Drosophila melanogaster: one gene and its partners. The protein of the gene in region 1 purifies or fractionates together with the protein of each later gene. This does not show direct contact. Each region holds a gene or a part of one and is shown on either strand. Other genes may lie near its edges.

Evidence for each region.
Region 2: the proteins of Mlc1 (region 1) and kdn purify together in Drosophila melanogaster (affinity purification with mass spectrometry, with the first as the bait; one large-scale study listed by BioGRID). This does not show direct contact.
Region 3: the proteins of Mlc1 (region 1) and RalGPS purify together in Drosophila melanogaster (affinity purification with mass spectrometry, with the first as the bait; one large-scale study listed by BioGRID). This does not show direct contact.
Region 4: the proteins of Mlc1 (region 1) and Acp1 purify together in Drosophila melanogaster (affinity purification with mass spectrometry, with the first as the bait; one large-scale study listed by BioGRID). This does not show direct contact.

What each region holds. Positions count from the first base shown.
Region 1 is NT_033777.3:27,654,430-27,663,001, reverse strand, and holds Mlc1 (myosin alkali light chain 1), read left to right. Parts: upstream 1-2,824; 5' UTR 2,825-2,889; coding exon 2,890-2,892; intron 2,893-3,045; coding exon 3,046-3,073; intron 3,074-4,080; coding exon 4,081-4,386; intron 4,387-4,446; coding exon 4,447-4,533; intron 4,534-4,888; coding exon 4,889-4,932; 3' UTR 4,933-4,935; intron 4,936-5,046; coding exon of another isoform or gene 5,047-5,090; 3' UTR 5,091-5,924; downstream 5,925-8,572.
Region 2 is NC_004354.4:6,347,359-6,355,074, forward strand, and holds the start of kdn (knockdown), read left to right. Parts: upstream 1-3,270; 5' UTR 3,271-3,377; coding exon 3,378-3,596; intron 3,597-4,923; exon of another isoform or gene 4,924-5,078; coding exon of another isoform or gene 5,079-5,123; intron 5,124-7,716. Other genes in the region: CG3847 (uncharacterized protein), read left to right, coding at 147-1,289; ND-B16.6 (NADH dehydrogenase (ubiquinone) B16.6 subunit), read right to left, coding at 2,338-2,696, 2,764-2,869.
Region 3 is NT_033778.4:16,780,496-16,788,413, forward strand, and holds the start of RalGPS (Ral GEF with PH domain and SH3 binding motif), read left to right. Parts: upstream 1-3,175; 5' UTR 3,176-3,387; intron 3,388-4,274; 5' UTR 4,275-4,413; intron 4,414-6,679; exon of another isoform or gene 6,680-6,992; intron 6,993-7,659; 5' UTR 7,660-7,705; coding exon 7,706-7,765; intron 7,766-7,830; coding exon 7,831-7,918. Other genes in the region: resilin, read left to right, coding at 53-1,072, 1,412-1,546, 1,674-2,381.
Region 4 is NT_033779.5:7,738,659-7,744,757, forward strand, and holds Acp1 (adult cuticle protein 1), read right to left. Parts: upstream 2,880-6,099; 5' UTR 2,824-2,879; coding exon 2,818-2,823; intron 2,700-2,817; coding exon 2,298-2,699; 3' UTR 1,904-2,297; downstream 1-1,903. Other genes in the region: CG7214 (uncharacterized protein), read right to left, coding at 5,550-5,972, 6,090-6,095. UniProt on the Drosophila melanogaster protein: Component of the cuticle of the adult fruit fly. Could be involved in thickening of the hard adult cuticle.

The DNA of each region.
Region 1 (8,572 bases):
GCACTCCCCCGCTGCCGAAAAAACCTACCAAGATTTCGGTCCTGGGACGCTGCGCAGAACGCAGACTCCGCATCAGCGGCGAGAACGAGGCGACTGGGTTATAGATACAGAACTGGGTTTCTGGTATACATGCTAATTTGGGGCAAAAATTTTCACAGACTTATATAACTCGAGCTGGGATTGTGGAAAATTTCACTTTTCCGCAATTAATCGCCGGTGGAACGATCAATTGTTTGGCACTTAGCACACACTCAAATCAAACGTGGCCAACGATTCGCTTGATTGGTGCCGCACCCAGTGGAAATGGCTTCACTTCAACCAACTGGGCTGGGCTCCTTGGACAGTCGTCACTAATTGCAGAACCTTTCATGGGCTGGCGACCGAACAGGGACACTGAAGCACTTTTTGTTTGATTTCAATTTGTGTATTTTTCCGTTTTTGCCCTTTTTTCTGTTGTCTAACGAGTAGTTTTTTTTTTTTTTTTTTAGTTCTGCAAGGGCTTACCTTGATTTGCGCGTTGCCAGTTTCGGATAACGTTTACGGCTGAAGCGTTCGGATGCAACTGAGACAAGCGTCGTTAACTGACGAGCTCTGAGCTCCCCGTCGTTGTTATCCTCTCAGCCGGCCGCGTCCTCCGTTTGCCATCGTTTCCAATGCCGACAGCAGCAGGCCAGCAGTGCGTATACAGGATATTTTGCCGAGAAACACACACAAACGCAGAGAGTCGTACAACCACCCGCACTCAGTATTAAGTATACGCACTGAATGGACGGGAAAAAAGGCTGCTCTCCGTGTAAGGGGTGTCCTTGCACTTGTTATGGCATGCCATAACACACTCTCCCATCGGGACACCCTGTTTGCGAAGCACACTTATCAATGATAACAAATGCCTGAGGATGGGCATTGCGTATACGCCGTGGGGTGGCCATTAGTACTCCTTTGTCTACGAGTCTTTGGGACTGCGACTGCGAATAAATAGTGTAGTATTAAAGTAGTAATGGCCAAAAATAAGTCACTGTCCCTTTCGGACTTGAGTGGAAATTAAATCCATAGCCTTTGTTCATTAATTAATCTTCTAGCTGATTAAGCACGCTTTATCCTTGCTAAGTTCTTGCCAAGTTCTTTCTGTATCTTATTTTAAGATAAGCATTTGAGATATATTTTAAATAACTTGATTACCAGCACAAAAAGCCCTTAGTGTAAATGTTGTTTACAGAAATGAGTTCTATAAATACAAGCACACAATTTCAGTCTCAAGGGGCTATTTATCAATGACTTGCGCACATTAATCTGCGCAGATTCGTGGCAACAATCGGCTGCTGATAGCAGATGTTCAATCAAGGACCAAATCGGCCTAAATACTCATGCACCAGTTACCCGCTTGACAACAGGTGGTGCCCCAAGGAGTAAACAATAACAAGGCCAGGGAGGCTGCGCGGCCAAAAGCCGAGCCGAGGACTCAATGGATTGAGAGATAGGACGAGACAGGACAGCCCAGAGAGTGGGTCTGATGAGCATCAGCCGGAAGTTGGGCACACAGCTGGGCTCAAAACTGGGTCAAAGAAGGACCTGTCCGATGGCACGAACATGGACGTGTGTACATCTACATTTACATAGAAAGTCAAGGACATGGGTGCATGGAAATGGATGTGCCGGCAAAGCCAATGGCCTGCTTGGCTTAATTGCCACTTCCTTGCCAGATTTGCCGCCTTTTAAGCACCTCGCTTACCCTTCAGGCTTGATCGGTCATTATATACCTACCACCCACCATTTGCCTATGCAAACAATTCGAGCATTTAGTTGTTGCTGTACATTTTTGCTCTGAATACGCTTCATGTATCTGTGTCATAGTTTTTATAAATAGCACGCATTAAAATGTTGTACAGGCGGCACACACAAGGCACAAGAAGGCGCCTGAGGGGCCAGTAATGCGCCTTCTATGTAGATGAGATGCCAACGAGGAATAGTATGCTTTTGGAGCATGTATAGTGTATAAATATTGAAAAAGGCTGGTGTTCAGGTGTTCTGGCAGCGGACAAACAAGAAATCGGCCATTTAACACCCCCACATACGACCGGCTGACAAAACATTTCGAATGATAACAGGCAAGACCTGAGAAATACGTACGTTTGCCAAAAAGACGATCAGGGTCGATGAGTGTATAAATATATACATGTATAGGCCACATTTATAGTACATAGCCCCATAGCCCCATCTAAACATCTAAACATACCCCGTAAAACCCCAGCATGGAAGCTCAATCTATTGCGCAGCGCTAAACAATCAATTCTCAAACCCATTCTCCTCCCGCCTGAATGAGAAAATATTATATTATCTGCAAAATCATCTGTAACATCGAATGATATTCAACACTATCCGGCTGGGAATGCCACAAGCGATTATTATTTTGCCTTCACGAACGAAATAAAAAGAAATATTCACAGAATAGCCGAAAAAAAACAAAATGCTTAAAAATAGCCCGGCTAGAGAGCGGACAACAAATGGCTCTGGCTCCATAGGAGAGCCTCCCAATATCTGGTGGTCGTTGGGATCCATGGGATCCCAAAAGAGAGTGGCATTCGAAAAAGTTCCCCCAAGATGAAAGTAAATTCTTGCCATCGCACATACTACAGCATATATTTTGGTGTGTGTATAGCCTTGCGCAGGAAAAGAGCGAGCGTTTCGTCATCCATTCGTATTCGTATTCGTTTTTGAATTCGTTTTCGAAGCTATAGCTGTAAATGTATCTGTATCTGTGTCTGAGTGCTCGGCGATCGGCTGGTTGGCTTTCACCTCAGAATTACCTTGCCGTACTGCCACTGACGAATAACGTTCAGTCGAGACCGAGCTCATCCGCGATACAGTTGATTTTCGCATCAAACAGACAAAATGGTGAGTGCCCAGTCGGCCAAGGAGTCTTCACACATCTTCCACCAATATCCAGTGATATAGATGTACATAAATATATGCAGCAGCTGAAAACTGAAGATTTTCCACACTCGAACTAATGCCAAACTCTCAAATCTTTTTCGATTCCGTTGACAGGCTGATGTTCCAAAGCGTGAAGTTGAAAGTAAGTTAAAACCCCGCACGAAAAGGATTATCTTTAACCTCAAACGAAATCCATCAAAGTTAAACCAACATATTAAATGAACGAGGTAACGGAAAACCCAGCAGAAAGGACTAAAAACAAGTATTATAATATCCATAAAAATACAGATTACATAATGTGCGCGTGTGAGATACACAACAAAAAGTACACAAAAGTCGGTGAACATATTTCGTAATCACTTGGAATATATCGCATACATATACGCATGCCTATATATATAACACTATGCGGAAAATTTTCATTAAGGAATGCTGTCGTCTATATGCATCGCCTGAGCTATTTTCATCGATCGACCATCCAAAACCAGAACGGATAAAGGTTGCCAACACAATTCCGGTAGAGAAAATCTAGTGCAAAGTTAAGTTTGATTTGCGTTATAGAAAAGCCGCGGAAAACAATGAAAATCGTGTGTGTATATGTCGCGAACCCGAACGCGCGATCCTCGTCTTCGAGCCGAAATGCTTCTCGTTTAGAGATCTAATTTTGGCCAAGTTATTTCTTTAGATTTATTTTCGATCAAACGCACAGCGAAAGAGATGAGCAAACTATGCGACTTTGTGTGTGTATATACGCCTATATACTGTGTATATAGCGCAGACGAGGGCGAAGGCGTTCGGTTCGGGTGTCGGATTACGTATACGTAGTGTGTTCTCGGGGCTGGCAACTCTCCCAGATCCGCACTCACGCATACACTCACACACTAAGTAGGCAATGCCCAGCAGCCATGTCAAGATTTTCATGATGACCAAAAATGTGCGTACCAGAAATTTCAGGGTTACCACATCGACCCCGTTTTCGAAAATAAAAAGGGTGGTCAACACCCACCTCTGCTAAAGTATTTTTAAAAACAATTAATGAGGCAGCATAATAAAATGAAACGAATAAAAACAAAAATTTGATGGGATTTACGTTTGATCGACTAACATGAACATGAAGATGTAAATGCTAATCGAGTTCCTTTTGCGCAGATGTCGAATTCGTTTTCGAAGTCATGGGCTCCCCCGGTGAGGGCATTGATGCCGTCGACCTAGGTGATGCCCTCCGCGCTCTGAACTTGAACCCCACCTTGGCGCTGATCGAGAAATTGGGCGGCACCAAGAAGCGCAACGAGAAGAAGATCAAGCTGGATGAGTTCCTGCCCATCTACTCACAGGTCAAGAAGGAGAAGGAGCAGGGCTGCTACGAGGACTTCATTGAGTGCTTGAAGCTCTACGACAAGGAGGAGAACGGCACCATGCTGCTGGCTGAGCTGCAGCACGCCCTGCTGGCGCTTGGTGAGTAATCAACATGCATATATCCTGGGATATCCCTCTAAATCATTGTGTGCATTACAGGTGAGAGCTTGGATGACGAGCAGGTGGAGACCCTGTTCGCTGACTGCATGGATCCCGAGGATGATGAAGGATTTATCCCCTACTCTCGTAAGTATTCGTTCAATGGACGATACTCATCTAATGTTTTTTGTGCATATACGATTTGTAAACGCCGTTTGTCTATTCCACATGTCACTCTTTGTCTGCGCACAAACCAAAAAAATCCCCACCATTCTGCACTGTGCACTTTGTACCACCAACTCGACCTGAAAAACACCAACAAACCTAAAAATATGTGTATGCGTGTATCCATGTTTGCGTGTCCATTCCTCCAACACTACACTCGCAAAAAAAAAAAAAAACCGACCAACTCCCGAATGTCAAACGTATGGTCTCTGCACGGTGATTGCGTCTTGTTTACCCGCCGTTTGTCGCCGATCCACTTGAAATTGAATGAAAACAGAGTTCGTCCAGCGCCTGATGAGCGATCCTGTCGTCTTCGACTAAACAGTAAGTAGGGATGGAGCCCATGGCCACTTCGCCGATCTCTGGATGTCTACTTGTCCAACAAATTTGGGGAATACCTTGCTAATATGGCCCTTTTCTTCGTCTACTCCACAGCATTCCTCGCCAGAATGTGTGACAGACCAGATCAGCTAAAATAGTTGAAAACAACAGCTTCAACAACAACCAACAAACAACAACAACAACAACAACAACACCAACAAACTTTTAGCGACAACCATTCTCCATAGATGTTATATTCATCGCTAACTCTCTCTATCTCTCTCGTATATTATTTTAATTAAAAATTACTTCTGCTACTACAACTGCAAAATTGAACTTCAAGATAATATTATTTTTTAAAAAATAAAAAAATTTAAATTATAAAATAACGAAAACAAAAAAACTGAAAAATATTCAAAGTTTTGTGCACATTATTTTGTTATGAATTATTTTGTTGGTTCAGCCAAAAGCAAAGCAATAGTTAATGATTATTTTATATGAGACGTGAATAAACCAAATAGCAAATAATATAATGTTTAGGCAAATTCAACATCCGAAAGCGTCCAAAAAGGGCAGTTAGCAAAACGCCAAATGTGTAAATTGTGGCCTTTTTGCGTTCTCAATTTACCAAGTGAATGTGTGAAAGTGAAATAAGTCAAATGTATTTAAATAAACACTAAGAATAATTGTGCGGCCGATGAGGTGTTGCACAATCAATATAAAAGAAGATCAGGGTGGTGGAAAATTTGGGATTATGCTATATAGGCAGCCAATATTAATACAAGATGTGGCTGACTTGTTTAATAAACTAAAAGTAATAGAGAAAGTTTAAAAATCTTATACTGAATCCACAAAGAAATATCTAGATATTTTCGCCGCAGACTGCAATACTTCAGCTGAGACACAAACCACCAACGAGAAGCAGGCGAAAGACTAAAATACCGTGTACTAAAATGTCGTTTTCGCTTTTTCTCAACGAGAGAGAGCTTTCGAAATGTTTGTTAAGCTTAGAGCTTGGTTAATATGGTTTTTGTCTCTACTTTCGTAATTATTATTTATTTATTATATTAAAATAGTAAGTGTAAGAAGGGGTGGAAATACCCGCATCCTGGTATCTACCTTCCTCGTCTAGTCAACAATAACAATTATAAACTAATCACAAAAATAGCTTGGGGGTTGAGATTCCGCTGAGCTTTTGCGTCGACGTCGAATCAAAAAAGTGTCAGAAAAGTTTCGGTTAAATACGACGACTACGAATCAGTTGAAATCGAGATAACAAACCGACAAGCCGACCGAGCGGGAGCTGTCTCGCTTTTTTTAAAAATTTGCACCAGCAAAAATCCAAATAAATTAGCAGAGTGCCAGTGAAGTAAGTGAGCGTGAGTGCGCCAAGTCAAAATATAAATATTGTCATTTACGCCGTTTCAAAATATATTTCCGCGAGCATTTCTCGAATCGAAAGTGAACCCAAAATATATTATTCCAAGTGAAAAGGACTAGCCCAAAGATACACACACACACACACAGGAAAAATACCGACAGATCTGTAGTCCTTTTCGAGTTTTCCCGTGAGTGCAACAAATACAGACACACCACACACACACTCGTTCGACTTTCAATATGGCGGATGTCCTGGAGAAAAGCTCACTGCTGGATGCTGTGCCACCACTAGGCGACCCCCACCCACCGCTGCCCCACCAGCAGCTGCAACAGGAAGCAGCAGCAGCAGCAGCAGCAAATGCCGCACCACCAGCACCACCGCAGCAGCAACAACCACCACCCCATCAGCTGCAGCAGCAGCAGCCGCAACAACAGCAACTGCAACAGAAGCCAGCAAATGCGAGGGCTAATCAGGATCAAAAAGGTGAGGGCGTTGCAAGATACACAGAAAAGAAATGGTTCAGATTAAACCATATATATAGAAATTATTATTAGTTAAGTGTCAAAACATATAACTACCTTGCTATGTGTGCAGTTATGTGGTATTTACCTGAATTTAGTAAGTAAAAGTGACTTCACAGCGCATTACGCATACGCCGCGTGTGCTTTAGAAAATCAATTAGGAAAGTTCAAGGCACGCCTCCGTAGCCCAGTTGCAGCGGTGATAGCGATGGCTATGGCTCAATTAGGCAAATTATATTGCCGGCACACCCCAGGACATTGATGGTTATGTCAGGCGAGCATGCAGGCCATAAGACTCACGTCATGCCCGCCACATTATGCAAATAGATTTGGCCGGTTCAGCGCTCTGTGTGTGTTTGATCTGTTTGAGTAACCGCTTAGACCGGCAAGTTTACGGCTTTTGGGGCGCAGCTCAAAGGGGGGCTCGACTGCCGGCAGGATGTGGAAGTTGTGGCTGCATTGTGCATTGTGGTATCCCAGCTCTCGGTTTAATGACCTGCAACTGTGGCAAGCCATCAACCACCCACACGACGGCCGAGTGCAGCTTTTAATTGTTCTTGATGCCCGATGCCTTGGCATCGGCTAGGTGCAAGTGTGTATCTATCAGATACACAATATACATACATATATTTCTAGAGAGATACCGATATGGCCGACTGCGATAAAAGTTATCAGCAATTCGAGCTCGTGCACTCACAAAAGGATTATCTCTGCACTTGCACATAGCTTATAAAAAGAAATCCAACGTTAAATCTTTTCTAAGACTAATCTGAAAATCCTTTTAAGTTTAAAAAAATATGGGTTTGCCAAAACATGAAGTATATTAAGTTACATTTATTTTTTCTGAGTGCACTGCTGCTGTGGTTGCTCTGCATTTGACCTCGTTTTAAATCGAGCTGCGTGTACCTTTTCATTCGTGGTCGTTCAGTCTGCAGAGTTCTCGAGCATCAGCTGGCTAAACTAAATATTGAATTTCCTGTTGAATAGGGTATTCCGCCTGCGACGTGGCACCAATGCGAACTATCCTCTAAACTAACAGTTGACTTCATTAGGGCAGTGCGATGTGTGTGCAGCGAAAAGATACACCCCTGCCTCGCGCCGTGTGAATATTAAATCAAGTGTGTTCGAGTCAAGAGCAAACCGGCTCTGCTAAATAAAAACAATAACAATGCTCCGCTGCTGTAGCTTTGTTTAGTGCTAATAATAAAAGTAAAAATATCGTCGTTGATTACTATCAGAGATGTCATCTACATGAAGTCACCACAGATCTAGATTATACATACATATGTACTCGTATTGATAAGACTTTCTTTCAACCTGATTGATCTGCACTTACTTTCATATTTTATACCAAAAATAATAATTATAATCGTGTGACGTAATGCTGCTCAATTGAAAACAAACAAATGCATACTGCACTCAGCGATTTTATAAATAGCCCAGAATCGCTGCAATTTCTGTCACCCATTTCGCGGTGGCTTTTCAATTATCACAAAACGCTGCCAGTCTCGTTTCTCATTTGCAGTTGTTGGCGCTGCAATTGATTTTCCTCTCTCTCTCTCTCGGTCTTTGGTTTTTCCTATTGGGGGCGTGTGCCAGTTTTTCGTAGATACCTTTTTCTTAACCGAAATGCCTTTAAAACTCTGCTAATTGTTAAGGTTTCCGCTTTGTGAAACAATTACCAAATATTTGGAGCCATATTTGTGGGGCACACCCATGCGCAAACTATTCGAGCAAG
Region 2 (7,716 bases), on another chromosome or scaffold:
AAAGGCAGAGGCAAAGCAGGGTTGTCGCCGGGAAAAAATCATATTGTTAAAGTAGGAAAATCAAAGGCTACTGTGAAATCTTCAGATCTTCAGATTTTGCCAAAACAGGTCGTAAGTGATCAAAACTTATTCAAAGCCAACTCGATATGAATGCCAAGCGCGTGAAGTATTCCATGGTGAAGGAGGAGATCGTGCCCGTGCTTATCGAGCAAGATACCGAGGTTGATCCCGAGGAGGAGCCCGAGGAGGATGAGGAGCACGTTCAAGAAGATGACGGCCAGGAGACGCAATATACGTATGCCTATACCACCGGCGACGACGATGACACCGAAACTGCGGTGGTGACCCTCAGCGATCGTGACCACGAGGCGCTGGTCAATGCCGAGGAGGTGATTATCGATGAGAACGGTCACGCGGTGACCCTGCAGGAGCTGGTCGAGAACAGCACCGTCGAGGAGGAGACCATCGAACAGGGCGATGGTACACACACCATCCTTCATATTGTGCCCAATATTCATGGCGAGGAGGTCGAGGAGGATGAAGAGCTCGAGGATGGCGAGGAGGTAGAGCATGACGATGAGTTTGTCACCGTCGACCACGAGGGCGGCGAATTGGAGGTTGAAGATGACGAGGTGGGCTCTATTGTGTTCGAGAGTACCATCGACCATGCCGAACAAGATCCGTATGGTCGCAACAAGACCTTCTACTGTCCCAATTGCGGCAATTGCTACAGCGCCGCCGGCTCCCTGAAGCTTCATATGCGCGCCTGCCTGCGGCAGAGGAACGAGATCTCCACCGATGAACGCAAGTGCAAAGTGTGCAGCAAGGTCTTCAACTCGGTTGCCTACCTCAAGGAGCATATGATGCGGCACACGGGCGAGCAGCCCTTCCGCTGCACCCGCTGCTATCGCAAGTTCGTCGAGGAGAGCAAATTTACCGCCCACATGGAGTCGCACAAGCACCAGGACAAGCTCGAGGCCGAAGCGGTGGCCCTGGCCGCCCAGCACGGCGGCAAGAAGGTGGTCGTCAAGGAGTTCCAGTGCGCCTTCTGCTCGCAGAACTTCACCGTCGTCTTCGATGTTGGCCAGGTGAAGAGACGCTATGCCTGCGACGCCTGCCGCGATAAGTACTCTAATGCGGAGGCACTGCGGCAGCACAAGCAGCAGGTGGAGGAGAAGCGCGAGTTCAGCTGCGTACGTTGCGGCCGCAAGTTCGTTTTCGAGGGCTTCCTACAGCGCCATCTGCCCACCTGCGATGGCAGCATCAAGCGTCGAAGGGACATGAAGTAGAGGCGGCCACAACGTGATGAGCACTGGCGGCGTCGGCAGCAGCTGGAGCCGGAGCGTGATGAGCAGAAATCGCCGCCGCCAGTGCGTTACGTTGTTATCAAGCAGGAGTACGTAGATTAGGAGCAGTAGGATTAGCTGGAGCACGAGCTAGTTTCTAATGATTCGCCCATGCAAAACTCGGACACTAGCCGCCCGGGCCAGGAGAAAGGAGCAGCTGCTGTTTATCTACACGCAAACATAAGTCCACACCCATATTGTATTTTTTGGGAGCCACAACGGGGGCCACTGTCGTCAAGCGATTCCAAAGGAAAGGGTTTATCTTTTACCTAGTTGTACACAAATCCACACACACAGTTGTTTTTTTTTTTATATGATTTCAGGCCAACTCTGCGGTTTACAATTGAAGATAAAAGCATGTCGACGGATGTCGATCATGGCCCATGTATAGATATATATTACTTACTTATAATTACGACTACTTAATGTTAGAGCTCACGATCACCCGCTATTGTGTAATAACCCGAAACTCCAAATACTGACACACAAAACGAGCGTCAAATCGATGTTGAATTCAATAAAAAATAAAAATAAAATAAATCAAGAATGTTTTTCAATGGCTCAAGATTTCTTCATTGCTATTTTAATAATCCCTATTGAATCATAAGCATTTCGTAGTGTTTTATGTTGTGAATTTATTATTTTTACTAAGCAGCAGATTTTCAATTAGATTTTAATTTGGTGACACAGCCAACTGGGATTCCCCGCTGTTGGTGCCACCAAATCCATCTAATTTGGCCATTTTTGAGCACTGCCCGTGGGCTATATTGCAGCTGGACGGCAACGCCCCCGGTTTGGTAAAAATCTCTGGCTACCTCGGGTGGTCCAGCACAGGATTTGGATTAAACACACACAAAGAGAATCGGTATTTCAGCCAATCTGATCTGACATTATAATTGGTCGATACTTTCTTTTTTTGGCGCTTAGGCGGATGATCTACAAACAAAAAGGTGCGTGCTTAGGCATTAACTAATCCATTAACTAGGCCGATTTAGGACCAGAGCTTCAAGTGGGCACGCTTGGCGTACGACTTCCAGTCGGAGTGGGCGTAGAACTCCTTGAAAATGGGCGTGACCAGGGTATCCTCGGGCAGGGTCTTGAAAACGGGCTCACCATACCAGGTGCCCACCTCCCAGCCGGGCACGTTCTTCATCAGCTCGGCCTCCTCGTCCCGATTGCGTCGCAACTGGCGCAGGAATTCGCGATCCCGCTCGGCGACCAAAATGGGAAAGATGACATTCTGGGCGGAACGCATCTCGATCTCGTCGCGCTTCACCTTCTTGGCGGTCAAGTAGTAGATGCCCAGGCCAACGGCTGTCACAACCACATAGGTGCCGATGGTGGTGAAGCCTGCCGAGGGATTGATATAGTTACCAGCACATATATGGTTAGATCAATGGGATTTGGAGGAGCTCACCTGTGAAGTAGCTCTTCGGTGGCACGCGGGCAAAGGGTATCTTCTTGTAGCCGCCCGGCGGTGGAAGGTCCTGTTTCGGGGGACAATGCGGCACTGCCGTCGCCATGGTGACTCCTCCTGTGGTACAAAGTATATATCAGTCGGCTGTTTGGCCGGTAAACTGGGACTTACGCTCGAATAAAGGGAAAAAATCTGTTGAATTGTCAAAAAAATGACGTTTTTTGCATAACACCAAGGCAGTGTGGCCTGACTTGGGGCAGGGTAAAATACCAAGTAGTGACGAAAATATACCAAAAAGTGGCGAATACTGCAAACGAAGTTGAAAAATATTTTCTAACGTGAAAAGTTGAGTCAATTTATTTGATTTATATTATATTATTATCGAAAGACAATCACAACAACAAGTCACAGTAGAACGTGCAAACGTTTATACGGTATTACAGTATATACAGTATTCCGAACTGTTTGATACCATCCCTATATTTATCGCAATCGCTTTCCTGTCAAAATAAATTTTTGTATCCTACATCACTAGCTTTCACATTCCCAAAAACAAGAGAAAAAGCGAACTAGAAACTTCGAAATATCGTATATATTTACAGCTAAAAGTAGTAATGTTCGTACGCCGTTTCGGAAATGGCTCTTTGGGCCATCATTTTGCCTTTCAACGACGTTATTTGGCTAAAAATTCTATGTGGGACTCGAAGTCCATTGGGACTCCAAGTTCATTCCGAATGCGTTCCAAAAAGGATAACGTGACTGGCAATCTCAAGGAGCAGCAACAATCGGCGACTCCGGAAACCTTGAACATGCCTGATATGCAGGATGCCCAAGTGAGTTTTCTTTTAATATAAATCTCCCTTCATCTGATTTTTCCATAACAGCGAGAAAGGTGACCAAGACCATATGACCATAAACAAATTTTATTTAATATTTGCCAAGATCTGTTTTTCCAAATTTCGTTCAAAAATGAATCAGTTTTTTGGCCACAACTTTAAAAATATTTGTCCAAATATGGAGTTCCATATCTCGTTGAGCTCGTATTTAAATTCCCTATCAAACTGTATCCACAAATGGAAATTCTATTTTTTGACCATTTTTCGCAAATTTTGATGATGTTACCCCTTACAAAAAATGCGAAAAATTACCAAAAAATTAGTTTTTCCAAATCGGTCAAAAAGTGATTGGGATGGTTAGCCTTCGCAATTAGCTGCTCAAAACAGTTATTCTTTTCGCTTTGTGATCACTTTTAGTCAAGTTATGATTAAAATGCCCATCTATAATTTTGTAATTTTTGCAAAAATAATTTTTTTCGATTTTCCGTCATAAAAGAATCAGTTTTTTTTTGCCATAACTTTAAAAATAATTGTCTGAATACGGAATGCAATACCTCGTCGAGCTCGTATTTAAATTCCCTGTCGAACTGTATCAAAAAATAGGAATTCTATTTTTTGGCCAATTTTTGCAAATTTTGATGATGTTACCCCTTACAAAAAAAAAATTGACCCAAAAATTAATTTCCCTAAATCCTTCAAAAAGTGGTAGGAATCCTAGCACTGCGAATTCGCTACTAAAAGTAAAAAAACTACTAAAACTAAGTAATTAAAACTACTAAATTGTAAACTGTACGACAAGTTTTAACAAAGTTATGATGATAAACGTCTTCGTGAATATCGAACTTTTTATTGATCTGTGGCCTTTTTCGGCAAAGCTTTATTATAAAACTTCAGTTGAAATATGATTATTTTTTACAAAAGTCGGTGTTTGATTTTCCCGCAATAAAAAGATATTTCCCTCACACGACAGTATTTATACTCTATAGCAAACAGACAATGTCAGGGAGCGGTTTAAAATGCATGGAAATGGGGGGTGTCGACTGGGATAGCTAATAGACTTTTTTAAAATTGGAATTGAAAACTAGTCTGCACTCGAGCAAATGTCAATTTATATGGATCTTAGTAGAGCAAAAATGCATCCAAAGCATATAACATCTATTTCAATTAAATAAGTTGCGTGGGCGTTTTTTTTCAAGTACCAGAGCAGGCAGCCCACCTTAAGTGTGACCTTTCTGGGGGAGAGCGGAAAACGCCGTTGCGTGGGAATTAGCGGGTGTTCTTTGCGCTCGTGCCGCCCCTTCCCGCAGAAAATGCGATTGGCGCCATTCAGTTGCCGCGCAGCTGCTAGACGAGAGACCCACGAAAAGAACACTTCACTTCCAGAAAAAGGAAAGCAAATTTTTTTCTGTGTGTGTGTTTTTTTCTAGCCAAGGCGAAAGTGTTTTTCTTCTACTCGCAGCCGTACGTAATCGCATTGCCATGTCGCTCTATCGCATTTCCGCACGGAAATTGTCCGAGGCACAGGTGAGTTCTTCATTTTAACTTTTCGAATTACCCCTTTGCTTTTCGACCAGTGTATCGAATTCCCATGCTTTCCTGGGATCTCTATCCACCTCCTTCCAGTTAGCTAACCGTAAAGTGTGTCGCTTCTGTTGTTAAAACCTTCGTCCTCTCCCCTCCCTTTCGCTCTTCCTCAACCCATCCCTCATCTGATCCTACTCCTCTTTTCCCATCCTCTTCTTCTTCTTCAACACACGTCACGCTGGAATTGAAAAAAAAAGAATTTCCAGACATGTGCTTGCGATTAAGAACTTTATTCTCTTCATTGTTGTTGGCGAATGATAAGTGCTAACGTGTATGCATGTACGTACGTATGTGTGTGCCTGTGTGTATGTGTGTCTTCTAATACATTACATAATCGCCAAATGAAATTCGCCCATTTCTTTTTTTTTTTGGCAACATCGGAATGCCTATAAATAAAAATCTCTATATTCTTTGTGGGTTTAACGAACTTTGTCTCTTTTTGGGCCGCCCGCTTTAAATTTTTTTTTGGTAAATTTCCACAAGTCCGGCTTGATTTTTTTTGGGTCTTATTCTTGTAAATTTACAACAACAAAAACAAATGCCACGGCGCAGAGCGAAGTGAAGAAAAAGAGCGTAAGGCAGAGAGAGTTGGTCGAGCAAGAGAGAGCAGAGAAAAAAACAGAGAATACCATTTTCCCCTTTCATTCGTTCCCGTTTCGTTTCTCATGCGTGTCACTATGCTTATGCTGTGCTTTTGTTGTTGCCAAAAGCGATAGAAGGAAGACACACCATCTCTCTTTTGCAAAAGAGAAGTGTCCGCCGAATGACCTTAAAGCAAAAGGAGGAGCAGCAGCACGCCCACTTACCACCCACCGGCAATGCACATTTGCATGTGAGCGGATTGCATAATGCCAAGAACGAGAAAAATGACAAAAAGAATAGTACTTGCGATTTTGTAATGAGAAAAATCAATAGCACACACACACACACGTACGTACAAATGTACACCCACGGCGTGCACACATACACACAAAAAAGGGCTTGCAGGACGAGCCTCCTTTTGATTTTTTTCGGGGGTGATTTGCTTTCTCTTTGACCTGCGTGGGGTAATAAGTACACAGGCAAAAAAGGAAATTAAGGTCAATGCGGCAACTTTAATAACAAACAAACGTTTGAAAGTGTCCTTTAATAATAACAGAATTATAATAATGTATAATGCATATATGAACAATCAAATACATATAACTTCATTTAAAATTAAAATCAAGGGAAACAGTAATTACAAGTGTAATTTTGACCCAATTTTGTTATTTGTGCAGTCTGCGATAATTATTAAATTAATTATTAATGTATGCTGCAATTATTTCTCGCCGTGTAGATTCCCCAAATGTTATGCACACTCCCCAAATCTTCTTCTTCCTGTTCTGCCGCCGCTGGCCGAGTGCCAAAAAAATGTTGGTGCTGACGCGTTTTATTTAATTTTGTTTTTCTTTTCTCTGCTTTTAGGTTTTTGCTTATTTTGTCTATAAATAATTCTTGTAAATGTTACAGTAGAAAAGGTTTAATTTGTTTGTTTTCCACTTCCAACAATTACATGCAATATATCTACATATTTTATATGCAGCAAATTGGCCAATAACCCACATATTTCTGCCAAGTGTTTAGGCCAAAGCAAAAAAGCGCTGTTTTATTTGCGTTTGACGTAGTTTGACGAAATGGCAACACGCGAAATTTTTTAACGCCTCTCCGCTAATACGTCACAAATCGTGACAACTCTTACGTAACGCCCACAAGCCTTTTTCCTTTTGTTTTTCCAAAACAAACCAAGAGGGGAGAGACAGAGAATTAGAGAGTAAGCGAAAGAGAGAGTGGAAAGTAAGAAGAGTGCCGTTAGAGAGCGGAAAAAGTAAACAGATGATCAAGCGATTGCATAAGAGCAAATGCATAATTTATACACAATTTGTACATTAGCTTTTACGACCGGTGCGCATTTTTGATTAGCGAATCTAAATAGGGATTTTATGACCAGCGGGCAAAGCTCAAGTGGACCATTTTTTCCACCTGGATTAATGCCAATCCAGAATTCTAGTTATGCGCGTGATAACACGCCGCCTTCTTAAACGTCATGGAAAGTTCGAGGGTCCCGAGATACGAGAGATAATGGAACCAAATCATCACTATTTGACCAAACTTCAGATGTTCATGGCTAAAATCCGGCGAAAAAAAACCCCCCCTCCTTGCCATCAGAATAATAAATAATTAATGAATCCCATCGTATATCAACACTTCGTATCAACAGCGTTATGTTTTTTTTTTTTGCTGTTATCAGCTAAGGGTTTCTCCCATCCATAAAGGCTTTATGATCCAAATTTACATATGTACCATGACATGAACTTTATGCTGACTAACCTCCTCTTATAATACTAATTCACAAACAATCGACGTACATATGTACATTTGTGTATATTACAACAATATGTTTAATCGCAGGCTTATGCAACTCAGTAAAAATGTCACCTTGTTGGGAGAATGCATTGCCGAACAATACTAAATGCATTGCAAATAGAAATCTGTAATACTGTATATATATATA
Region 3 (7,918 bases), on another chromosome or scaffold:
AGTCCGTAGACCGAGCTTCAGTTCCAGCTTCAGCTTTAGATACAAGTGGAATATGTTCAAGTTACTCGGCTTGACGCTGCTCATGGCAATGGTGGTCCTTGGGCGACCGGAGCCACCAGTTAACTCGTATCTACCTCCGTCCGATAGCTATGGAGCACCGGGTCAGAGTGGTCCCGGCGGCAGGCCGTCGGATTCCTATGGAGCTCCTGGTGGTGGAAACGGTGGACGGCCCTCAGACAGCTATGGCGCTCCAGGCCAGGGTCAAGGACAGGGACAAGGACAAGGTGGATATGCAGGCAAGCCCTCAGATACCTATGGAGCTCCTGGTGGTGGAAATGGCAACGGAGGTCGTCCATCGAGCAGCTATGGCGCTCCTGGCGGTGGAAACGGTGGTCGTCCTTCGGATACCTACGGTGCTCCTGGTGGCGGAAATGGTGGACGCCCATCGGACACTTATGGTGCTCCTGGTGGTGGTGGAAATGGCAACGGCGGACGACCTTCAAGCAGCTATGGAGCTCCTGGTCAAGGACAAGGCAACGGAAATGGCGGTCGCTCATCGAGCAGCTATGGTGCTCCTGGCGGTGGAAACGGCGGTCGTCCTTCGGATACCTACGGTGCTCCCGGTGGTGGAAACGGTGGTCGTCCTTCGGATACTTACGGCGCTCCTGGTGGCGGCAATAATGGCGGTCGTCCCTCAAGCAGCTACGGCGCTCCTGGTGGTGGAAACGGTGGTCGTCCATCTGACACCTATGGCGCTCCTGGTGGCGGTAACGGAAACGGCAGCGGTGGTCGTCCTTCAAGCAGCTATGGAGCTCCTGGTCAGGGCCAAGGTGGATTTGGTGGTCGTCCATCGGACTCCTATGGTGCTCCTGGTCAGAACCAAAAACCATCAGATTCATATGGCGCCCCTGGTAGCGGCAATGGCAACGGCGGACGTCCTTCGAGCAGCTATGGAGCTCCAGGCTCAGGACCTGGTGGCCGACCCTCCGACTCCTACGGACCCCCAGCTTCTGGATCGGGAGCAGGTGGCGCTGGAGGCAGTGGACCCGGCGGCGCTGACTACGATAACGATGTAAGTGTTTGAGATAGCTTAGCAAATAGGGTATATGGTAAAATGGGATTTGTATACGGGGATCACTGGGTGGAATTGACCACAAGGGAACACCGCTCCACCGCCCACACCGCTGCACACTTGCCCTTGCAAATCTTTGGTAGACTCGTTATCGCTCACCTGCACAGCCATCGGCGTTTAAAGCTTGCATCCCCATAGAAAACTGAATTCTTGATCCCAGACACTCTATCTCTCTGTGTTTCTCTCTTTCTCCACACGCCCCAATCCGTTCTCCATTCTCCATGATCCGCTGTCCATGATCCATGCTCCATGCTCCATGATCCGTTGTACGGCGTTTAGGAGCCCGCCAAGTACGAATTTAATTACCAGGTTGAGGACGCGCCCAGCGGACTCTCGTTCGGGCATTCAGAGATGCGCGACGGTGACTTCACCACCGGCCAGTACAATGTCCTGTTGCCCGACGGAAGGAAGCAAGTAAGCGGCGGCGGCAGCGATGGCGGGCAGCAGAAGGCGATGTGGATCCACCCACTGCTCCACCACCTCATCCTTCTGTCACGGCTAACATTGTTATCTCGTTCTCTTTTCTCTTTGTCTTTCTTAGATTGTGGAGTATGAAGCCGACCAGCAGGGCTACCGGCCACAGATCCGCTACGAAGGCGATGCCAACGATGGCAGTGGTCCCAGCGGTCCTGGAGGTCCTGGCGGTCAGAATCTTGGTGCCGATGGCTACTCCAGTGGACGTCCCGGCAATGGAAATGGCAACGGAAATGGCGGTTACTCCGGTGGACGTCCAGGAGGCCAGGATTTGGGACCTAGTGGATATTCCGGTGGTCGTCCAGGAGGTCAGGATCTAGGCGCCGGTGGCTACTCCAATGGCAAGCCGGGCGGCCAAGACTTGGGACCAGGCGGTTACTCCGGTGGTCGCCCTGGAGGTCAGGACTTGGGTCGAGACGGCTACTCCGGTGGACGTCCAGGTGGACAGGACCTCGGTGCCAGCGGCTACTCCAATGGTAGGCCAGGCGGCAATGGCAACGGTGGATCCGATGGCGGTCGTGTGATCATCGGTGGACGTGTGATAGGCGGCCAGGATGGCGGTGATCAGGGCTACTCCGGCGGACGTCCCGGTGGTCAGGATCTTGGACGTGATGGCTACTCCAGCGGTCGTCCTGGTGGTCGGCCAGGCGGCAACGGCCAGGATAGTCAGGATGGCCAAGGATACTCGAGCGGCAGGCCGGGTCAGGGTGGCCGGAATGGATTCGGACCCGGTGGTCAGAACGGTGACAACGATGGCAGCGGTTATCGGTACTAGGAACGACTCACAGACACATTTAGCTAGATTCCCCGAACATATAGCAATACCTAGTGTTAAGTCCTTCTAGAACTATGTCCCCTACCTATGCCCCTCATCCTTCCGCATCTATTCGTGCCCATTCTATCCCACTTCTTGCTGTCTTTCGCCCATCCATTCAGCCTGCTCAATTCCTCGTAGTCGTAAGTCCCTGTTGATCTAAATGCAAGTGCGAAAAATAACCCAAAAAAAGGAATGAAATGATAAAGCTACTTCCGATGTAAGTAAAGAAATTAAATACATATATATTTTTTATAAAAGTTAAGGACTTTCATTGTTTGGCAAAGGGTCGGTATTTTGGATCATGGGCTACATACATATGTACATTTTTGGAATTTAAGATCGAAGCTTTAAAGGGACATTATAATCAAATTTCGCATTAAACTTTTATCAATGCTAACAAGTTTCAAAAAAGAATTTAAAAAAATTATCAAGACTGAGTTTTTTGGCCATACGGCTCGAGTCAATGCTACATTGTTATCCAGGTTCCCAACCAAAATGTACTAATAAATTTCAATTATAACTTGCTATAACAAGAACATACAAAACAAATTTTAAAATTAATATTTAAAGAAATTATTTGAAAAACAGTTTTAATAATGAATATCTAAGTCATACACTGAGATACATAAAAATATGGAATGGAATCTGATTAAATTATAATGACTTTAAAAAATATATTTAAGAAGCATATTTTACCGTTCGACTTATATTAGTACATTTTCGTGAGTGGTATTTCAAGCCAAAAGCCACACGGTCACACTGTACGTTGGCGTCGGCGTCGCGCGCGGATCGTTTTCGGCTAATTCGCTGCTGAATTTTCGTTGTTCTCGAGTTTTAAAACAAACGAACGAAAGGTGAAGCCAATAAGCGTGGTGAATAGTAATTAAAAAAGCGCGACGCAGTGGCTGTCATCGCATGTACATCGATTATTTGATATAAAATGCACCAGCAGCTGGAGCTCGAAGTGAGTTGAAAGTGCGGGTTACATAGGTGGGGCGGCGAAAGCCTATAAATAACAATATGCATTGCTATTTCGGATTTGGGCGTCGCTATCTTCGTCCATTTGTCGCCCCAAATGCTCCAAGATCCAAGTGGCAAGTGCAATGCGTTGTGCCATTTTTTTTTGTAGTTTGTCGGGGACTGATTACGAAACTACGCCCAAGTGGGTGGTGGGTGGTTGGTTGGTGAGTGGGCGCCACACTTTGCATACAATGAGCTTAGAACCCCAAACGACAGCAAATTGCGTGAGAGTGGCTGCCTGTGTATCCGTGTTTATGTTCGGCTTCCCGTTTTCCGCTTTTCGCGTTCAATTCTATCGATTTATTTCCTCCGCGAAACAAACATTGATTATATTCGAACATACTCGTAAATGTCTCGAAATGTGAATCATCGGGTGGCGGCGGCCAGCGAAACCCACTTGCCACTTCCTTTCGGCGTTAGATCAGGTGATAAGCGGCTTGATAAGAAGATACTCGCAGTCGCAGGCAACGCCTCTGGATTTTTAAGAGCCAGCTGCTGTTGATAAGCACCGCAAAAAACGATGTGCTCCATTCGTATCCCAAATAAATAAAGCATGGAAACACTGCAAAATGTGATATTCATCATTAACTTTGTGGTCTGCCGTTCAAAAATCCAAATGTACTCGTATTACATGCAAGTACTAATTGCAACTTTGCTCTTCTTGGAAATGTAGTGTATATTCTGTAGTATACTACTGTAAAAAAAACCGTCGAATTATTAACATTACATTCCCCAGTCCAAATTCATATCAAGTACGAAGTATTTACTAAATATTCAAACTGCATGCAATTTTCTTTCGGTGCATCTGTTTTGCCCGGACTCGTCCAACAGGATATGTGCGACAGATGTTTTTGAATGCGTTGCCAAGATGCTGAAATGCTGCATTTCAAGGTTTCTCGCCCGTTTCCAATTGCCTTTTGTTCATGCTTATTCCTTGGACTTAAGTACAGCCACTCGACGCAGAAATTGGGTAAGTGGCTCAGTTCTAGGCTCGCTGCTCCGCGACTGGCTGGATGCTCACCAAGTGACCCACTTTGGTGGCTCACATGTGCCATAGATCGCATGTACATATGTATGTATGTACATGTATAAGCAGCTCATGAAACAAATACAAAACACGAGAATAGGAGATGAAAGAAGAAACCCCAGCTCGATTGCTTGGCCTTCCTTGGCATTGTTTTTGTTCAAGCTACTACCCTACAAGTGGGTATTATAATTGCACGCATAAGTTGGCAACGTTATGCTGCAACGGTGAAATCTTAGAAGTCGTATCTTGCATTTGAAACTACTTACATATCTACCTGGCCAAAAATCATGTATCTACCTGTTTTTCCGCGAAAACAGATCTTCAAATCGAAATGCCATCTGTTTAGAAAAAATATGCACAGAACCCAAATTCCGTTTTTCATTTTGTATACAAATTCGGAAGAACCGGAAACGGATGACTATATCACTGGCCTGCCATAAATAACAATTTACGTCTTGTTTATGTGGGAGTATGTTGTGTTTAAGGATGGTATAGGACAAAAGTTGCAAAGATCAAAAGTGGGCTAAAAGTTCTCTTACAAATTGGCTCTGAATGGGATCAGTATAACATAATATATAGAATTGTGCCAATTTTATCTCATAAATAAAGATGTGTTTAGGGTACTCCGCCTTCGATCCTCGAAAGCAGGCTTTCTTGCCTTGCTGCTGCTTTGGCACCTTTCCATTTGTAGTTTCTCTCTTTGTTGTTAACCAGCGTAATTACATGTATTTATTCTGGCATGCATGTGTAAGCAAATAGTTAGACGACTGTCTGATAACGCCCCTCGCTTTTCAATGGGAGATTAGCTAAATGTTTTCCCACTCGTGTAGAAAACCCAAGTCGAAGGCTGATCGTAATAGAGGCTAAGTATTCAGTTTTAATCGCAATCTTTCGAGGCGGTTATTGAACCTGTCAGTTGAATATTTCAATCGCGAATATCACCGGGCGACAGCCACTCGCTTGCCGTTGACCTTGCGAAACGGTCGCTTCTGTAAATATGCATTTCGCCACCCCGCTTTTGAACGGCAAAGAAAGCTGCTCCAGAGATCTTTAACCCCCCTCTTCTAGAGCTGGAGGTCAGTGCGAGTCAGCGAATGGGTTGAACTGCAAATTCCCTTGATGGTCAGTCATCACTTGTCATCATAGCGAATTCCAGTGCTACCCACAAGTTGAAGAATTTATCAATGGAAAATGCCAACACAAGAGAAAAAAAAGAAACGAGAAATCTCACCGAGTTTCCTCAAGATTATGTAGAAATGTGCTCGTCAGTATATGCTATTGTATTTTATTTAAATACAATTGCTAGTCTGATAAACAAAAAACCAAGAATCGAAATCGCCCATAGGCAAATGTGATTTCCTTGAATTCTACAGCTGCGTTATTTGTTTTCTTTTAAGAAATTTGTGTAAAAGCAATAAACACACTGAATTTTCTGTGGGAGTATCGATATAGTGGGCGATGTTTTTGCCTCCAAGCAGGCATACATATGTACATATTTCGCCATATCCCTGACCACGAAAAAAAAAACAATCAGTATTCATTCGCCCATCAAAAGTTTACAAATTCGCATTAAAGGAGCGCGCTGTCTGGCAGGAATTATTTACAAATGCTATGGATTAAATTGTATCCAGTGGGTGGAACTTTACGAGCCCTCAGATGAGGCAAGTAAATCGTTGGGCTTTAATTGCATTGGATGATATCTCCATTAAAACGCCGACCAGCCGAAGGGAAGTCCAGAAGAAAAATGGCACAGATTGGCGCAGATACAGATACATATGTATATGTATGTATGGCCATATATATGAATTCAATAAGGAGAGAAGTGATGTGTATATGGAATAGTTCAAATAGTCAATAAAGTCCATTTGTTCAAAATCTTGAGGCAGTCGTCTGGCATTTTGAAATATAATTCGCATACGCCTGGTGTCTTGTCTACATCTTGTTTCTGTTTTTGTTGCCTTTCCGCCCAATTTGTTTTCAATTCATCTGTATACTACAAATCTAAAATATATAGGACTGTATTTTTTTAATTCTTTTGCTGCAATAGAGATATATATGTATGTAGATTAAATCCCAACTGAGCACAATGAGTTTGAAACGATTTAGAATGGAATTCATAATAGATAAGAACAGCATAAAAACAATATCGTTCCCCAACCGATTTTATTTGCATCCGTCTTGGGAATGTATCTTTTGGATTTCGCCCACACTAGTCTCGAGATATTTGCGCTGTTATTTCAGAGTCGGATAATTCAATTTGCTCAAACGGAAAAGCGCAAAATAATCGAAGGAAACCGCAGGCAGAAGCCCAGATATACCAATGACAAAGTGTGGACGTCATTGCTTTTGATCAGCTTTTGCTTTCAAATGATTATATCTTAATTGAAATTAATCAGACGGGGTCAAAACAGTCAGTCTTAGAGGAATTTTAAATACATATGTGTATTGTGGTTGGTGCAATGATGGGAAATAAATGAATAGTGGTTTCTAGAAGGTTGTACATGCCGATAATGATCCGTAATGTAAGTGGTTACTTTTGTTTTCATTTCATTATTTCAAATAAATATGTTTCTCCTTTAATTACGTAAACGTATATGTACATATGTACATATTGTGTCATTTCTTGATTGTATATTTCGCACTTAAGCGACTGCATTTTGTTTTGTGTTTTTGTGGAAATGAGAAAAATGCCGGAAACGAATGGCTTATTTAAATTTTAATTTTCTATGCCTTGGTCGACGGGTTCATTGAACTGGGCTGAAAACCAATTTGGTTTCTAAACGGGTGACTTGTTTTCCAACCAAACTTTCCGCTGACCGCTGCAGCCCGTGACTTTTTATCAGCGGCTTGCACCCCCGAAAAGCCATTTGACCACTTGAGAGCTACCATAAAAGAGCATGGAATGGTTTCCTCGCACCGCTCGTGACTCACATGGCCCGCTCCATTGGAAATCGAGCAGCGAAGCGTGCCAGAAGCTTCGTTTCGGCTTGCCACCAGTTTTTTCCTATACTTTTTTGTTTTTAATTTCTTTTGTTGTTTTCTGTTACGAATGTTCGTGCAACACAAAAGCCACAATGCAGAACTGAGGAAAACAAACTCGGTTTCAGTCAACAAAAAGTCTGCCCAGTGTGCGGAACACCGAGAGCCAAAACTTAATCACGAAGTTAACTTGAGTCTTGTCCATTACAGTTTTGAAGAGCTTGTCGAAGTGCAACGACAGCCGGAGTTGGCTGCCATGATGCGATACTCGGAAATCTCACGCGACCTGTCCACGGATAATCTGCGCTACTCAGAGGTGGCTATCTATACCTTCTTCCCACTCGATTGTAGTTCGATATTAAAGATTTTACGTTATTTCAGTTAAGCAGAAAGCCCACCACGGACTATAATGGATATACGGGTCAGGCCTATGCCGCGACTCAATTCAAGCAGAGCTCACCTCCTCCTC
Region 4 (6,099 bases), on another chromosome or scaffold:
TCAGGCGACACGTTTTCCAATCACGCACAAAACCCCTGCAAAACTGGCACTGCGCGAGTGTTAATCCGAACCCGAATCTCGATCTGAACCCGAATCGGAAACTGCTGCGACTGCGACGCACGTTGCCAGCACGTCTGCCAGCGAACGACTGAAAACTGAAGAGTAGAAACACAGCCAGATAGTCGCCGAATGTCAGGCGAATGCGAATGTTGCTGCTGTTGCTGCTAGTGTTGCTGTTACTGTGTTACTGCAGATGTTGCTGCTGTCTCTTATCGCAGACGCTGCTGTGTGCTACTTTTACTCTTCGGGAGAAATGCGAAGAGTGACAGAAAGAAAGAGCAACAGCTGTGGTTCAATTTTCTAAATGCTCTGTGTTGGAAAGAAGTTATATTAAGTCTGAAAAAACATATAAGCTATCAGTGATACACAGATTTTATAGACTATGTGTTTAAGTAATAATAAGGCCAATAATATTACCAGAACATATTAAAATGTTCTTATATTTTAAAACTAAACATATTCTACCAAAATTAATTTTGATTACTTAAAAGAAAATTTAGCTTGCTAAGTCTCAGTATGTCAAATCGACTTCGAATTAAGATTTTTTACCAACAAATTGCTTTCGATTATAACATTAAATTAAGTGGTAATTATTTAACCCATGTCGGATCAATTTTCTAAATTGCATATAGGAACGTTCATAAGAGTACGTCAAATTCGTATTGACCCCCTGCGACTTCTGTGTGATTTTCTCTTTGCCGGTCAATTACCGGCTATTGCCAAAACGAAGCCCAGTAGGAAATTTCTTGCCATTTTCGAGTCGGACTCCAAGTAAGGGGAGACTGTCGACACGATTGACGCTTGACTCTTGGCCGCCGGCGTACAATAAATCATTGCAGTCAGTTCAATACAGCAGATTTAATCGCTAGACATTGCAGAGAAAAAAAACGTTTAATCATTTTAGGAAAATATTACAAATAAAATATTTTACCGAAATTACAGAACTTTAGAGGTAGAGCATAAAAGTTTGATCTACATATACACTTATATAATATTTAATAATAATAATAAATTTTTTATCAATTTTATTCACAGTTCTTTTCAGTGTATTTAAAAGGAGGTGTGGTGAGAAAAAGTTGAAGGAAGTTCGGGGACTGTTATTGATACACTGACGCATTTCATTCAACGGCCAAATGCGGCAACAAAAGCGAAACTAGAAACATGAAAAACAAGCGCGAGACTTTGTAAACCGCTGTTGGAACTCAAAGTGGGAAAAATAAAAAAAAGGGGCTGGCTAAGTGGGAGGGGAAAATCACGCAACAGTTGGACTCTGCTATAGCAAATCGAAAGATATAGGGGGTAAGGAAGTGCGGGGTTGATTCCATTTGATTTGTGGCTGGATTTCGCATTGAACGCAGTTGGGGACTTTGCGCATGCGCATGAACTTGACATTTCAGCATTCGATCCGATGGCTTTGCTCTAATCACACTTTATTATGGAGGAAGGGGTTGCATGCAAACAGCGTAGTGTCAATTTGAGGCAATGAGTCAATTAATTGTATTCGGAGGCGTAAATATGCGATGATAATATATTGAGAGCGAACGGGCTTTGTATACTAATAGATTGAGCCTGTGGGAATTTGTCAGGCAACATCTATTTATTTTAATTTTGGCTTGACCAAAACAAACTTTGTATACTTACATTATCATTAAATAAAGCTTTATCAAACGAAGAATATATATTATGTAATGTTCTGTAAAGCGGAAAAATTATAATGAGGAACCATCAAAGATTTGTTAGCAATAATGTTAATTTGTCGCAATTTTATTTATATGTGGGTATTTAATATTCCCAACTTCGCAATATTATTTACACATTTCCCAAAATAAAACGTTTATACTTTAGTTACATTTTCTTTATTGGCATTATGTAGATGTACAAGCATTTCCTTCCAGAATGCACTTGGCATTCCGTTCGAAGAAAACTTGTGATGGTTTTTTCACAGGATGCTTGGAAAATGTATGCTAAATAAATAGGTAAGCGAGAGAAATAGGCAACCACAAACGTGGCCGGGTGCTTAGGTCGGAAGAGAATTTTGATGACTCCTTTTTTTCGGGACAGGTATGAAAGGATCCTGTTCAGGTGCTAGGTGCGAGTACCCTGTCTATATATGGCTATATATACAATGTATTTACATAACGTGTTGAGGGGTCTAAAGTTCGACTTCCCCATCAATGGCAGTATCCGTGGCAGAGGCAATGGTCCGATCGACAAAGGGATTGAAGGCGGTATACTCCTTACAAGGTTCCGGGTGCGGGAGCGGCATTGATGGAGGCCACCGACTGGATGTGTCCGGCCAGAGGAGCGGTGTGAATGGCACCACGGGTCTGGGCAGTGTAGACGCCACTGTGAGCCACTGGGGCCACGACGACTGAGGGAGCATGAGCAGCAACCACAGCGGGAGCAGGGGCAGCAAGCACGGCAGGAGCGGCGGCGTGGATCGCTGCCGGAGGCCACGAAGCCACGTTCACGGCAGCAGGCCAGTGGGCGGCGGGAACGGCCCAGGGAGAGGCCACCACAGCGGGTCCGGAAACGGCGGTGTAGGACAGTCCATGTCCAGCCACCTGGGACAGCAGGGGGATCACAGACGACTGCACGCCCATGGCGAGGGCCAAGGTGAAGATAACGGCGACGGCGAACTGTATAATGCAAAATATATTGTTTAGTCTTATGAGTAAAACTTCCTTGTTGAATTACTAATATTAATCCAAGCTATGTTGTTGTTAATTATCAGGATAAATCCGTTTGATAACTCACTTTCATGGTGCTGTTTGTGGGTTTTGGGTTGCGCTCTGGTTGAACTCTTGTTCTGAACTGATCTGTCAACGGAGCTGCCGGCCAGTTTTATACCCAACTGCTGACCACATCAGCAATAGAAAACCGCCAAGTCGGAGGGTTCATGAAAGTGAGAGTTCACACACCATGACATGGTGGACACGGCTGACACTGCTCCGCATGCATATGATCAGCTGTAATGACATGCCTCGGATCTGAACGGATCGTATCGTATCGAATCGGATCAAACGGCTAGGTTGAACGCCTTCAAAGCGGTTGAATTCAAGAACTAGTTCTACATCTACAATACTTTGTTATTAGCTTATTGTACTAATCGAAATACGTACATTTATTTTCTAAAGAATAAAAAAATAAATGAAGAAGAGAGGATTGTGACAAGAAGTTAGGTTACCTAATTTGTATCTTTAAGGTGGGGTTTTTAACAATAACCCTCTCAAAAATGAACTAACTCGGTAGTGAACCTCTATTTCCGCACCACTCAAACATGCACCACCACAGAAAATGCATTCTCAGTGAGTGTGTTTCCATCTCCGTGGCCATGTGGGTCCAACTGTCTAAGTGAATGGCCCAACCCACTTTTCAGCTGCAGTTCCGGTAAGTTGATTTTCACTCCATCACACCGCCACTTTAATTACTTAATTGTTGTTTGTGCGCGATTAGCATTTCAGTATGATTTATAACACGATTCCAATTATGGAGCGATCCGTATCCTGTATAAGGCCGGCTAATATCTGATTTATGTGTCTTAAGGGTTAATGATATGCGAGGAACAGCCCACTTTATCGATCGATATTGAAATATAATTATGGGAAAATTAAGAGCTGAAATATATTATTCCATTTGAACAGAACTGATCTATAAATCTGTTTCTAATATTTTAAAGAGTTAATATTAAAATTTTAAGCCGAATAACAAAAAGTAGATTATAATCAATTGGACTAGTGTAACTATTTAGAATTCGAATCCAAGAGACAAAAGTTTGCAATTCGTTTCATGACATCTACAAATTCGTGTGTGCATAAGCCGCTTGTTGGCTATAAATTAACCAAAACTTGCAATTAACACAGCTGAAAGGCATTCCAGGTTAATCCGCTTTTCCAGGCTATTTCCCTAATTATTTCCACCTCCGATTACCTAATGGAATCGACATTGCGCAACATTCAATTGTCTGAAATGGGTCTGGAGCGTGGGTTACTGCAGCCCGGAACAGCCCACATAAATATATCGCAAACCCATTAGGTGCCGCAATTAAGTCAGACTTTAGTGCAAATTGAACCCAGCAAAGACAATTCAATTATGCCCAAAAAAAACTGCATGAGGGGAAAAACTTGTTTCGATGCTAATGTGGGTGAGATCGATTGTCGAGTCTTGGCAAAATCTCTGAGACACCAAAAACACCAAAAAAGTTCAAGTTGAATTCTTTCGGTGCGATGATAATCTGTAATTAGCGACTACTATAATTTACTCCATGTGCCAATTATTTTCCTATACCAGAAGCCCAGGTGCTGACTAAAATTGAAACTTGGTCTTTGTGCGATTTGTAATTAGCGCTAAGCGTTTGCATAATTAAGCATACGCCCTGTGGCCCAATACGTGCATATGATCTGGCTTTGTACCAATTAACTCGATCTAATGACCATTGGCCCCCAGCTTGACTACCGTTCAGCTGTGGCCGATAGTACTGCCAAGCAAATTAGGATTGTCACTATAATAATAGACACTTAAAGACAAAGACACATTTGATCTAGACATTCTTGGCAGATATGAAATCAATAGAACAATTTGTCGGCTTTTCAAGGTCGAGCAGGTGCAAACTAAAGACCCAAGGTTATAATTAACTAATATGCAGTTTATGATCTAGATGTATTTAATGAGAGCTAAACAATCATTCCAATATGGGATTGTTTGAGGTTGTCCAAGTAAAAGATTAAAACATTAAACATCTTGGCATATCGTACAAAAGTATTAAGCTATCTAGCAATCATAGCTTAATTATATATTGAATTGTATTTAAAAACAAGTCCAAACCTCAGATGATGCCTCAGATGAAATTAAACCTAAAATATACATTAACAGGTACTTTTATCTTTTGTTAAAGAAGAATCTCCTTAGTTGGATAGTAGTAACTTTTTTTTTAACCCCATTTTTGCAAAAACACAATATTTATGTCGTATAAAAAACGCTGATTGCTTTTATTTATAACGTTTTCGTCAATCTTTACATTGTTGCAGATTACTAGATTACAATGGGATATTTACAGGTTGACAGGGCATATCTAGGGCGATATGCCAGATAGTGATAGATATAAGAAGTATATAGTGATAGATGTAAAGAAGAGGAAGACAGGATAGCAGATGGGAAGTATTGAAAGAGTTCTCAAAAAAGAAAATTAACATGCTGTCGTTTGTTGGTTTGTTGTAGTTGTTGTAATTGCTGTTGGACTTATATATTGCTGAGTGCGTTGGAAAATGTCCAGAGGATATGGACATGGACCCAAGATCAGGATCGTGTTCGTATCGAGGGGGTTGGGACTAAGAGCGGTGTGCTTAACAATAAGTGTACAGAGAGAGATGGGTATTCATCCGGTTGGAGTAGTCGTGGGAAGTCGCTGAAGCAGGTGGAGATCAGTGATACTGCCATCCATCCGCTCCGTTTGGCATCGGTTTGGGTATGGTTTATCCGTCACTCCCGACTTACAGAGTTCCGGGGGCAGGGGCCACGTTCACGGAGGTGGCAGAGTTGATGTGTCCGGCGAGGGGAGCGGTGTGGATGGCACCACGGGTCTTGGCCACATAGACGCCCTCATGGCCATGGCCGGCGGCGAGACCGGGTCCCTGGGCCAGGTTGATTCCGGGAACAGCAGCGCCGTGCCATCCGGCACCGGTCAGACCCCAGGGAGCAGCGCTGGCATGGACGGCAACGGCGGCAGGGGCACCCCAGGGAGCACCGTTCCAGGCGCCGTTCCAGGCACCGTTCCAGGCACCATTCCAGGCTCCGTTCCACAGACCGGCTCCATGGGCCACGGGGCTCACATAGGACACACCGGGAGCGATCTGGGCCCACGAGGCATGAGCTCCAGCCAGGGCGCACACGAACATGACTACGGCAACGGCGAACTGGAAAACGGATTAATTACCGAAATTAGTTAGATCACCAGGATAATTTCGTAGAAACTCTTGAAAATTTTCAAAAAGTTTTTGAAAATCTTAGAACACTCCTGCCAATGTCCTCACCTTCATGTTG